Linked DNA regions of Macaca mulatta. The protein of the gene in region 2 interacts with the protein of the main gene of each other region in a biochemical or structural test. Links are inferred from orthologs where the notes say so. Each region holds a gene or a part of one and is shown on either strand. Other genes may lie near its edges. The genes, in order: PKP1, DSG1 and JUP.

Evidence for each region.
Region 1: the proteins of DSG1 (region 2) and PKP1 form a complex in vitro, tested with the Homo sapiens proteins (2 studies listed by BioGRID and IntAct). The link is inferred for Macaca mulatta from reciprocal best matches to the Homo sapiens genes DSG1 and PKP1.
Region 3: the proteins of DSG1 (region 2) and JUP form a complex in vitro, tested with the Homo sapiens proteins (2 studies listed by BioGRID and IntAct). The link is inferred for Macaca mulatta from reciprocal best matches to the Homo sapiens genes DSG1 and JUP.

The regions. Positions count from the first base shown.
Region 1 is NC_133406.1:58,927,651-58,931,937, reverse strand, and holds the start of PKP1 (plakophilin-1), read right to left. Parts: upstream 2,888-4,287; 5' UTR 2,480-2,887; coding exon 2,278-2,479; intron 1-2,277. UniProt on the Homo sapiens protein: A component of desmosome cell-cell junctions which are required for positive regulation of cellular adhesion.
Region 2 is NC_133423.1:61,190,804-61,194,964, forward strand, and holds the start of DSG1 (desmoglein-1), read right to left. Parts: upstream 2,858-4,161; 5' UTR 2,630-2,857; coding exon 2,582-2,629; intron 1-2,581. UniProt on the Homo sapiens protein: Component of intercellular desmosome junctions. Involved in the interaction of plaque proteins and intermediate filaments mediating cell-cell adhesion.
Region 3 is NC_133421.1:66,096,209-66,099,854, forward strand, and holds part of JUP (junction plakoglobin), read right to left. Parts: coding exon 3,408-3,646; intron 2,023-3,407; coding exon 1,821-2,022; intron 1-1,820. UniProt on the Homo sapiens protein: Common junctional plaque protein. The membrane-associated plaques are architectural elements in an important strategic position to influence the arrangement and function of both the cytoskeleton and the cells within the tissue.

The DNA.
Region 1 (4,287 bases), on a different chromosome or scaffold from region 2:
AGGCTCCTGACAGGTAAACCAGCATGAGAAAGAGGGAGCAGAGTGAGTAGAGGTGGCCGCAGAGCAAATAGGGGACGCTTGGGCGTTTCTGATGGAGAGGACAAGGAAATCTGATGAAAACGAAGCCAGCTAAACCAGAAACACCAGCTCCAAGTGACCAAACCGCCTCTTCCAGCAAGGATGCCTCTGGGGAAACCAGCCTCCTTTAGGAACCTCCGCAGAGTCTGAGGGTAGAGGGGACACGCCCACAGGGCCAGACCTTGGAGTTTCTGGAGAGGTAGCCATCAGCATCAACCCTCCCCTCAATGAAGCCCCCTGAAGGACCTTGGGAGGAAAAACAAAGAGGGAACAAAGGAGACCTTATCAGATAGAGGTTCCCCACAAAGACCAAGCCCAGAAAGTACACTTCAGGCTGACAGACACTCAGCCGATATCCTGATAGGTGGGAGGAATAAGGGGTCCTTGGGGCACCCAGGGCCATTTGAGTTTTCTGGAGTTGTGAGCCAAGAGCTCAGGCTGGGATGGAGTGGAAGTGGGAAGGGGACAGCCAAGTCTTGGGCAGAGAGGAGAGTAGATTGAGCAGTGCCCTGGGCTATAGCCAGAAATGGGGCACTTTGTTCTTCCAAACCTACTTCTAAAAAGGCTAGGAGGCACCTAACAATGCACCAAATAAAAGGGAAGGAGGCATGTGCTCTGGAGGCGGCACGAACTTGAGTGGAAATGTGAGGAGAGGAGCCCAGGGCTCAGACAAAGGCAAAGAGCACAGAGCAGCAAAGGCCTTTAGGTCTGGGGCCCAGGAAGTCATCTGCCCGCCATTTTCCTTCCTTCGGCTCTACATGGGGCCACTCAGGAATGGGGGCTAGGGAGTGGGTGGGGGGACAGAAGCCAGAGGTAGAAAGTGTGAGGTAGGGGTGTGTGTGTGTGTGTGTGTGTGTGTGTGTGTGTGTGTGTGTGTGTGTGGTGGGAGAATGGCCAAGGCTGGTTTCTTTTGTCTCCTTCCACCTTATGACCCCCTGCCCCTCACTCTCTCCTAAGGCCTGTCTTAATAAATAAGTCTTGGTTTACCTGTACTGGTTAGTGGTGGGCAAAGTCTTTATTAGTATTTTACTAAATTTAGCTAAATAAAATAAGTAAATAAATAAACAAGGGGAATCTTTGCTCACTTCTGTGTAATTCTTACCAGGCATCCTTTGTATTAAAGCATCTGTTTGGTCTATAAGCTCTCCCCTGTCAGGTACTGCCCCTTCCTCCTTGAGTTTCGCGGGTGCTGCCCCTTTCTCCCAGGCTTCCCCAGTCATGGGCTCTGGCCTCTCAGAAGCTGGAGGAGGGGGTGCCAGGCCCGGGATCCAGCTTGGAAAAGTTCCCGTGAGGGCTCAGCTAGAGGTCTCCCTGGTGCCTAGGGGTATTTCCAACCTGCCATGCTCATTCCTTACTCTCCCCATGAGACACTTGTCTACCTAAGCTGGGTGGGGTAGAAAGAATTCAGTGGGAAAGAGGAGTTCTGCATTGGCTATTCGGGAAAGAAGGCATCCTGACCCCCTTCCCTGTTGTCAAGGGACCCACTGGCCCTGGGGCGGCCTTCCAACTAGGCTAGCCTCTTTCAGGAGGCTCCCAATAAAGTGCCCTGGAGTTCCAGGGCCTCCTCCCTGCTCCCTGTGCCACTTCCCCGTCCCGCAGCGACTCTCCTGAGCTGCACTCCTGTCTCAGCGACTCCCTCACGCCGCTCGCGGATACACACGCACACGGGGACTGGGGTTCCCCTTGGCCTGAACGCCGGGCATCGGCTGCCAGCTGAAGGCCAGGAGATCAAGCCCAGGAAGGTTGAAGGGTGGCCCACAACTGATTGCGAGCGCGGGGACCATGGCCCCCAGGACAGCCAGGGTGAGACATGATGCAGGGCTGATCCCTAGAGCAGCACCCGAAAGAGAAAGCCGTCCAGACCCAGGGCTCAGGGACAGGAGAACCGCTCGCGGGGGATCCTCAGCCTCCTGGCACGCTGGGAGATACTGCCGGCTGTGTCCGGGTGAACCACCCATCCTTGCCCACTAGCGCGCCATCGAGCTCGTGGAGCTGTCGAGCCAGCCTCGGGTGGCTGTTCCATCTGCTCGGAACCGGCTAGGAGCTCGGCTGCTGGCATTCGGCGCGTAGACCCTGCATGGGGCCAGCAGCCCCTCACCTCCCCGCACCCCCTGGGATGCTTGCGTCCCTTGGTCTCCGCCGCTGGGCCAGGGCGCTCTGAAAAGGGGCGCACGGACCACGCGGGGACCGAGCCTTTACCTCGATTGGAGTGGCTCAGGGTGGACGACTGGGAAGACTTGGACTTCTGCCGCTTCACGGTCATCATCACCTGCTCCTGCACGCGCTGCCTGCCAGACGTGCCTGTTTTCATCTTTTGGTCCGACGGCAAAGCCAAAGTGGAGTTGTCCTGGTCCTGGAAGCATTCGTACGCCAAGGCGGTCTTGAGCGGCGAGTGGTTCATGGTGGCGGGAGGCTGGAGGCGCGCGGCCGGGGCCTGGGAGAGCAGAGAGGCGAGGCGAGGTGCGGTGCAGCGGGCGGGCGGTAACGTGCTCTTCTCGCTCTCAGCAGCTCCCTACGGCCATAGAGTGCGTGGTCCGCGTGAGGGCTCCCGGCAGCTGCTCCTGGCGCTTCCACCCCGGTTCGTCCCTCTTTGGTAGTGGCGAGGCCCGCCCTCCGTCAGACAGGATATACCACCCCTGCCCTGCACCACCCACTCCACCTGGCCGCGCGCTGCTGCCGCTCAGACGCGGAGCTGCAGGGCACTGCTGCTGCGGAGCCAGCGCTCTTGGGGGCAGGGCTACGAGTCCCCCGTGTGGGACACTGAGCGCCTTCCTGCTCGCTCTTTTTTTCTCTCCTTTTCCTCTCCCCATGAGCAAGAAACGTCGCAAGCCTTGAGGCCCCAGGGAGACGCCCCTCTGTCCTGTTCTGCCGGCTCACTGAGAAAGCATGTGTTCAGCTCAGGAACCGAGGGAGACCTCTCTCTAGGAAAAAAGGAGTCTTTCTTGACCAGGCTGTCCGGGAGAGCCAGGCGTCCATCTCCCTCTGTACTGCGGTCATAGCAGAGACCAGCCCCGGCGGTGGAGGCTCCCGGGCTGATGGCAGAACCATAGCTCTTGCTCCAAAGGAGTGCTCCATCTTATGGGGGCAACCCAGTCTACTCTAAAGCAGTTTCCTCTGAAGCAAGTCGGGTAGGGGCAGGAAGGCCACATCAAGGAGCAGACTTGAGATATCAGACCACACAGTGGGTATGCCTTGGTGAAACTGGTGGTTGTTTGTTGTTCATGAGTATAGCCCGGTAAAACACCACGTGAACAGCGGATCCTCTCTGAAACTCCACTGTAGCCTCTGATACAATGCCTGGCACAGGTAATATTAGGTACTCAATAAAAGATATTTTTAAATAGGTGAATACATGAATGCTAGTTAATTTAAGGTAAATTAAATCTAACTTGGATCCTAACGAGATCCTCACTGAAAAATTGAAAAGCTGCTTTATCCTGAAACTCCACTCTGGACTTACTATTTTGGGACCACTGTGTGCATTCCCCTATGCACACTCACACCCCTGGGGACACATGTGCAGTGAAGCTTCATTCATGTAGCATCCTCCCCAGGGATGGAGAGAGCCCACATCAGTGAATCTGGTGTGTAACAGGAACCGAGTGCTTTTTTTTTTTTTTTTAAAGTATTTACTTTGATGGAAATCTTTCTAAAAAGTATCGCATTCTGCTTTGCCTCCTAAAGCAAACAACACTGAACATATTTGCTGTACTTCTTGATGCCCTGAGTTTCACATTCTGGACATCCATTACTGAACTGTGTAGTCGTGCAGTCCAGTCAGCTTCTTAGTTTTGGGGCCTCCACCAGCTGTGTGACACTATCACAGCCGTCACTCTTGCTGTCATTTGAGGTTGCCCTTCACAGCTCACATGCTTTACTTTTAGTTTGCTCTTCTAATCTACGGAGGAAAGGGCAATCAGAAATCTATTCTTTTTGGGAATTTTATGTCGAGGAAGGATCTAGAAGACTGAATGACTGTCTCAGGGACCACATGAAGGTCACTCACGCACTTCCTGAGTGTGAGTGTTACATGCTGGGAGCAACTTGCCCAAGGAAGGTATTCCTGGTAGCAATTTCCAGAGCAGAGTGTTGTAAAACAGACTGTAGTTTCTAATAGAAACAATTTTATTATTGAGGGCTCTGTTCCTAAGAATTTATCCTCAAGTAAACCAGAGATGTGACCAAAAATATGTCATAGATGTGTACAAA
Region 2 (4,161 bases):
GTGACTTAAACGGACTAATTGGACCTGGCAAAGTTGCAAGTAATTTTCAGAAATCATTAAAACCATAGAGATCCCGCTGGCTCTGTTTTGCTTTCCCACAGTGACCATGCTGTACTTTTTACCATTGTCATACACATGCACACAGATTTCTTTTATCTGGTGCATAGGAAGCATTGTTCTCTGGCCTAGAGAAAATACATTCTAACTCCTTTCCCTACTCCATGCAATGATTATACGGAAACAAAAAGAAGAAAGCAAAATAGATGTAGAATTAACAAAACGTGTTTGACTTGCAGTGTTATAGCAGGTGTAATCTCTTGTCTGTCTAGGAGACTTGTCAGAACAATAGACTAGCCATAGAGCAATCTTGTTTGCTGTAAGAGCAGCTCCTCCAGCTTTGTTCTCCCTGATTCAACCCACTCATTTGAACAAGGTTCACAACCTTCAGATGCATTGAGCTGAATACACAGTATGCTTGCAAACAGATAGTTACCCAGTTCTCAGGTGGATGTGCTTAAAAGACATGACCAATTTGAATATCTTAAAGGCCTTAACTACGGTACAAACACACTTCCTAATGCAGGTTCCCACTTACTGACTTTGAGTAGAGATGAATATAAAGACTTTACACAGATTTTTTTCACTTTTTGGTAAAAGCACGCATTTATAATGAGACTAGAAGAAAGATAACTGAAATAATTTGCTATAGTGGGTGGTTGTTTTGAAGAAAAAAGTATTTTAAAGAAAAATACAGATTAGGAAACTCCAAAGGACAATTACCAAAATTATCCCATGTGGCAAAATCAGTACTTAAAATAAATTTTGATCTTCCAAACCTTAGAAAGTGAAATGTTTTTTAAAAAAAAAAGCTGTCATGTCAACGTGAAAATGAAACATTGTAATTCATGATAGTGTAAGTTATTTGAGAAATAATTTTCATAAGGCATGTGAGAGACTTGTGATTGATTTCAATATAAAATAAGGTAACCTCCTCTTCCCCCATTCCCAAAAACAACCCATAAACCAACAAAAAACAATCTAGGCACAGCCAGAGAAAGTTCAATAAAGATAAACGATTTTGATGATGATACATTTTATTGAAGAATGACTAAATAGAAAGTGATTGTTTAAAGACATTTGATATGCTGTAATTAATTTGAAATAAATAAATCAAGAAATAAGGTACATCTTAGAGATTCTATGAAAGTTAGTGTACACCTTTCTGAACAAGCTGATCAACTAAAACTATAATAGCCCTTAATGGATCAAATTTATTTGAAATTTTAAGTCAAAGTATTTGATTACTGACAATATGAAACTCTTGCATTTCAAATGACATACTGTATGATGCTCAGTGATCCCTACCAAACCCTAAGTAATGAAATCAACTGATTCTAAATATCCACTGAAAAGAGTATGGGATAAGACTAATGTTTGAAGGAAAGCTTGGAAGTAAAGCCACCATTTTACTGATGCTCATTTATAACTAAATCCACTGATTATGTCCTGCCTTAGTTAATAAACTGAATTCAAACTAACCAGCATACCTTGAATCAAAGATCTAACTTATTATACCAACCCAACATTCCAGTTCAAAAATCAAGCAAGTAGAAACAAATGTGAACCACAGCATTATACATCCTGCCAAGCTGGAGGGCAATTGACTTGGCACCTGCCTTTTTGAATTACATTAACCTTATTGTGAGAGAGATTACAATTTTCAAATTTTCACTGAAAGTGAAATTGACATAATACATTAGTGGTGCACTTAGTATTATCTCTACAAAGAGAAAACGAATTACATGTAAGGGGGCAATGGTAAAGTATTTCATCACATTCGTCTGACCATCAAGTGCACAACTTTTGTATCACAGTCATCACTGACATTCCAGTAGTAAGATCAAGTGTAATAATAGTTATATTTACTCTTTAATTGTAGCCACTTCTTCACTTCATATGTCATTTATAAACCTCCTATACTGCCATTTTTTGAAATTAAAAATGTTTTAAATAAAATCATAAACAGTGTGGGGCTTTGTAAAGTAGTGATACAGATTCTAACCAAATATGCAACTGATGAGTTTATTTGGATAGCGAGGCCAGCCACAAACTGCTATGATTTTAAATTATGTGGATGCCATTTTTATGTTTTAAAAATTAGAGTAATTCCACTATCAAAGATACTAAAAAAACAAAAAACAAAAAACAAAATTAGGTTAAAAACCCAGACACACTTGTGATATTTAGTTTAAAAGCCCTCTTGCAAGAGATTTTGAACCACAAAGTGCTACTAACTAGCGATAGGAATTTCCTAAATTCAATATTTTCCCAGCATGACTTAGCAATGACTTCAATGTCAGAGATGTAATACAATGAGTTGACACTGATGCATTAACATGATCTTGAGTCTTCAGTTAGAGAGAAATGCTATTGAAAAATCTAGTTCATAAAATCACCTTGTCATTAACATATATTTTAAATGGGTTTAGGTTAGAAATAATGCCTACTAACATTTTCTAAAAAGTTTTCACTTGTTTACAATGAGCATGATTATGAAGGGTTTTTACCAGAATCCACTCACCAGAAAAATGAACAGCACTGCAGCTACTCTGAAGAAACACCAGTCCATCTCTGCTGGATTCTCTTACATCCAAGACCAAGGGAGTTTTGTTTGTTCTTCTCTGTTCTTTTTCTTTCTCCCACTCAGCTGGTGTCTGATTAAAATAATTTCTCAGTAGATGTTCTTACATGCAGGCTTTGAGGTGTTTCTGCCTTCCTCTGGGAGAAGGACTGAAGGTACGTATAACCAGTCTGGATCCCCACCCTAAAAACTTGGGCTGGTCTCACTGAAATGCTTGACAAGATCATCATTGCTCCCAGGTAAAAACTTGGGGACACACCCTTCTTCTAGCTGAAAAGCAACTCTCGATGGGGCAAGGAAGATTCACTCCTTTACTGAAGGTTTTCAGTAGCAGGCTCTTAAAGTGAACAGAAATGTGGAGGGTTATACAGGTGATGGGGGCTTCTCACCCCATGCTTTCTTTACAGCTAGTTTAGTTTCTCCCCATATTCAACAGGCAGGTATAACTTGAATGCTCATATTATTCATTCGATTAGCTGTTTGTAGCCAAACCCTCGGGTCATAGTAGAAAATTACAAATTTTCCATTTTAGTAGATGTTGGGAAAGTTTCAGTTATTTTCAGCTGTTAAGAGAAGGAAAATTTGCTAATGCGAGTGAGGCTTTTTTAAAGTTATTAATTCCAATAAGTAAAACTGTGATGCTTATAATTATTAGAACCTCTGCATAAGTCACAATTCCCATTAACTGACCAGCCTTAAGTCTAAGGAATCCTCCATTTTCCCTCTAAAGGAATGATTTTCTTTCCCTAAGTATTTTTCTTTCTTTATGATTCTTTTTTTTTAAATACAATAAAACAAAAATTTAAATATTACTAAACTTAATTAAGGGTGAATAGTGAGGACTATCAATTAAAATCCTGATAATAATTTTAAAAATGAGATTTGGTGCCTGAAATACTAATGGAAACACAGAAAGCTGCTCAACAGGTGAGGTGGGTTAAAAGTCAATGACAATTCCCAAGCACAGAGCCAAGAATCTGTACAGTGAGCCAATTAGAACACAGGGAATACACTGAAGAAATGGCTGCCTACACATGTAGATGGGAAACTGAATGCAGCCCTGAGGTTTGTGAAAACAAATAGCAACCTTCACAAGGCAGCATTTGGACATATTTTTGGACTCTCTTCTCTTCCCCTGACAATGTCTAGTATAAATATTGTGAGTGGCAGGAAGCTCATAGGCACTAGATGCCCTCAGAGTTTGAAACGGCTACTTGGAACAAGAGACCTATCTGATGAGATGTTGATTATGGTCAAAAAGTACTCAAAATGTCTCCAAAAGGAAGAATATCTCTGAGGGTCAGAGAGTCTATAGAAGGCTGTCATTTCACTACAGATTTGTGGCAAAGAAGATGCATGGTTTGAATTTTCATATTATCCATCATAGACTGTAGAGGGTAGGAGATAGCCTGCCCATGTTTATTTGCAGTGAATAAGAATGCTTATGATTGTAAATAGCAGATGTAAATAAATAAAATTTAGAAAGATGGGTTGGTCAATTTTCTCTAATGAGAAATGTC
Region 3 (3,646 bases), on a different chromosome or scaffold from region 2:
GTTTCACTATGTTGGCCAGGCTGGTTTCAAACTCCTGACCTCAGGCAATTCACCTACCTCGGCCTCCCAAAGTGCTGGGATTACAGGCGTGAGCCACCACACCCAGCCCACCCCAATAGTTTCATGACTGTTATGTAAGCCAAAATTTTGAAAAAAAGGATAATACCTAGTGCTGACAAGGATGTGACAAAACTATATGCACATCCATTACCAGTTATGGCACTGGAAATTAGTCCAATCCTTCTGGAAATCAGTCTGGCCATTTGGGTAAAAGCCTAGAACTGTTAAAAATCAATGAGAATTTTTTCCACTCTTTGACAAAGGCTATATGCCCAAAGACATTCGTTAATTCGTTAGACAGCATTGTTTATAAAGGTGGAATAGGAGCAATCTAAATACCCTCCCTCAGAATAAAGCCTAAGGTCTCCACTTAATGAAATGCTATCTGTAGGCTAGGTATGGTGGCTCATGACTTTAATCCCACTATTTCGGAGGCTGAGGCAGGAGGATTCCTTGAGGGTAGCCTGGGCAACAGAGCAAGACCCCATCCCCATAAAAAATTTAAAACTTAGCCCAGGTGCTAATTAGCTCATTGGTACGTTTCTGTAGTCCTAGTTATCAGGAAGGCTAAGGTGGGAGGAATGCTTGAGCTCAGGATTTTGAGGTTGCAGTGAGCTAGGATCATGCCACTGTACTCTAGCCTGGGTAACACAGTGAGACCCTATCTCAAAAAAGAAAGAAAAGGAAGAAATGGGAAGGAAGGAAGAAAGAGAGGAAGAGAGGAAAAGGGAAAGGAAAAGGAAAAAGAAAGGGGAAAGGGGAAAGGAAAGGCAATCTGTCATTATTAGAGGGTGGTTTTGAGGACAACAGAGCAAAAACAATTTTTTTTAAACATCATGCAGGCCAGACACAGTGGCTCATACCTGTAATCCTGACACTTTGGGAGGCCAAGGCAGACAGATCACTTGAACCTAGGAGTTTGAGACCAGCCTGGGCAACATGGAGAAATCTCACCTCTACAAAAAATTAGTCGGGGGCCCGGTGCAGTGGCTCACGCCTGTAATCCCAGCACTTTGGGAGGCCAAGGCAGATGGATCACCTAAGGTCAGGAGTTTGAGACCAGCCTGGCCAACCTGGTGAAACCTTGTCTCTACTAAAAATACAAAAATTAGCTGAGCATAGTGGTGGGCACCTGTAATCCCAGCTACTTGGGAGGCTGAGGCAGGAGAATCACTTGAACCCGGGAGGCGGAAGTTGCAGTCAGCTGAGATTGCGCCACCGCACTCCAGCCTAGGCGACAGAGTGAGACTCCATCTCAAAAAAAAAAAAAAAAAAAAAGAAGAGTAAAAAAGAACTAGTCGGGCATGGTGGCACATGCCTGAAGTCCCAGCTACTCTGGAGGCCGAGGTGGGAGGATCATCTGAGCCCAGGAAGTCAAGGTTGCAGTGAGCCCTGATTACACCACTGCACTCCAGCCTGGGTGACCCTGTCTCAAAAAAAAAAAAAAAAAAAAGCAGGCAGAAAACAGATGCAATGTTGCAGATTGTTATGACAAGAATGTGCACACATCTGTAGTCTGCCCACAGAACAGCTCTTAACGGAGCATATCGAAATGACAATAGTGGCTGTATGAGGATGAGTGATTTTTTTTCCTTATGCTCAAAATAATAATTCTGACCAATTCAGTCGCATGATGAAGCATGCACATCTGCCCCTATATCTCATCTAAAAGGAGTAAGGGGCAGCAGCCCGAAGCTGTGGAGGATAGAGGGTGACGCAAGGGTGGGCTTCAGGCCTCAGGAGGGTTGGGGAGGGCCCACCTTGCTCTCCTGGTTGCCGTAGGCCAGGAGCTGCAGGCAGTCGGTGGTGATGGCCAGGAACTTGGGATTGTTCTTGTTGAGCAGGGGCACCATCTTTTGCAGCCCGTCAGCCAGGCGCACGGCCATCTTGGCGCCCTCCTGGTACAGGAGCAGGTTATGCAGCGTGGTGATGGCGTAGAACAGGACCGACTCCACAGGGGAGCTGGGGGGGTGGGCAGGGGTTAGTATGCCGAGGTCCCAGGGGCCTGGCATACATGTGAGCCTGGTATGGGTTCCCACCTCCCCCAGGAAGCCTCCCCACTACTGACACCCCTCTGGAAATATCCCTTTGCTAAAATCTCATCACTCCTTGAGCCTGCCCGGCTCTTAAGCATGAAGCAAACAGCACCTGTCTTCTCCCAACTGAGACAATGACTCCTCCTGCTTCTGAGCCCCCAGCCCTGTGCTGAGCACACAGCAGGTCCCTAGACACTGATCCCTACTAAGTAACTACCATGTGGAAGGCCACATATTAGAGAGGCCTTGCAAGGTGTTCAGAGGGGAATGAAATCAGTGTCTCCCCTTCATGGAGCTCCCAGCCTGGTATAGGGATGAGAAATGAGGCCAGGCGCGGTGGCTCACGTCTGTAATCTCAGCACTTTGGGAGGCCGAGGCGGGGGATCACCTGAGGTTAGGAGTTCGAGACCAGCCTGGCCAACGTGGCGAAACTCCGTCTCTATTAAAAATACAAAATTGAGCTCGACATGGTGGCAGACGCCTATAATCCCAGCACTTTGGGAGGCCAAGGCGGGCAGATCACCTGAGGTCAGGAGTTCAAGACTAGCCTGGCCAACATGGTGAAACCCCATCTTTACTAAAAATACAAAAATTAGCCAGGCGTGGTGGTGGGCACCTGTAATCCCTGCTACTTGGGAGGCTAAGGCAGGAGAATCGCTTGAACCCGGGAGGCGGAGGTTGCAGTGAGCTGAGACTGCGCCACTGCACTCCAGCCTGGGCAACAAGAGGAAAACTCTGTCTCAAAAAAAAAAAAAAAAATTAGCTGGGCATGGTGGCAGACACTTGTAATCCCAGCTACTCAGGAGACTGAGGCAGAAGGAATATTCAAACCTGGGAGGTGGAAGCTGCAGTGAGCTGAGATCATGCCACTGCAGTCCAGCTTGGGCGACAGCAAGACCTCATCTCAAAAAAAACGAGAAATGAGACCAATCAACATTTTGTAGGGGGCCCAGAAACAGAAAGTTTGTAAGGAACTTTGCATTTGCTGTTCCCTCTGCCTGGGACACTCTTCGGTTCCTCCACACTAGCCAAACTCCACTCATCTGTTAATCCCCTGCCATTAAGCGATTCCACCTCTGAGCAACCTCAATGCTCTTCTGCCACAGCCTGTGTCATATCCTGATCATTAACCTGCTGTTTACATGCCTGTGTTCCCTGCTGGGCTGTGAGCCACTGAGCACCAGGATGGGGTGTGCCTCTGCCTGGCACATGATAGTTGCTCGCTGGGTATTTATGGAAGCCCAGGGAAGGGAGGGGAGAGGCCCAAGTGAGGCGGGGTCCTGGACTCCTGCACTGAGCAGGGGTGGGTACCTGAGCATGCGGACCAGAGCAGGGATGCCGCCCGACTTGAAGATGGCGAGCAGCCCCTCCCGGTGGTGGGAGAGGTTGTGCAGGATGCTGGTGGTACAGCGGGCCGTGTCCAGGTCACTGGTATTCTGCATGGTGCGCACGACAGCGGCCACCAGCTGGGGTGAGCCCATCAGGGCCCGCCGCGACGCCTCCTTCTTTGATAGCTGGTTCACAATCATGGCCGCCTTAGTCACCACCAC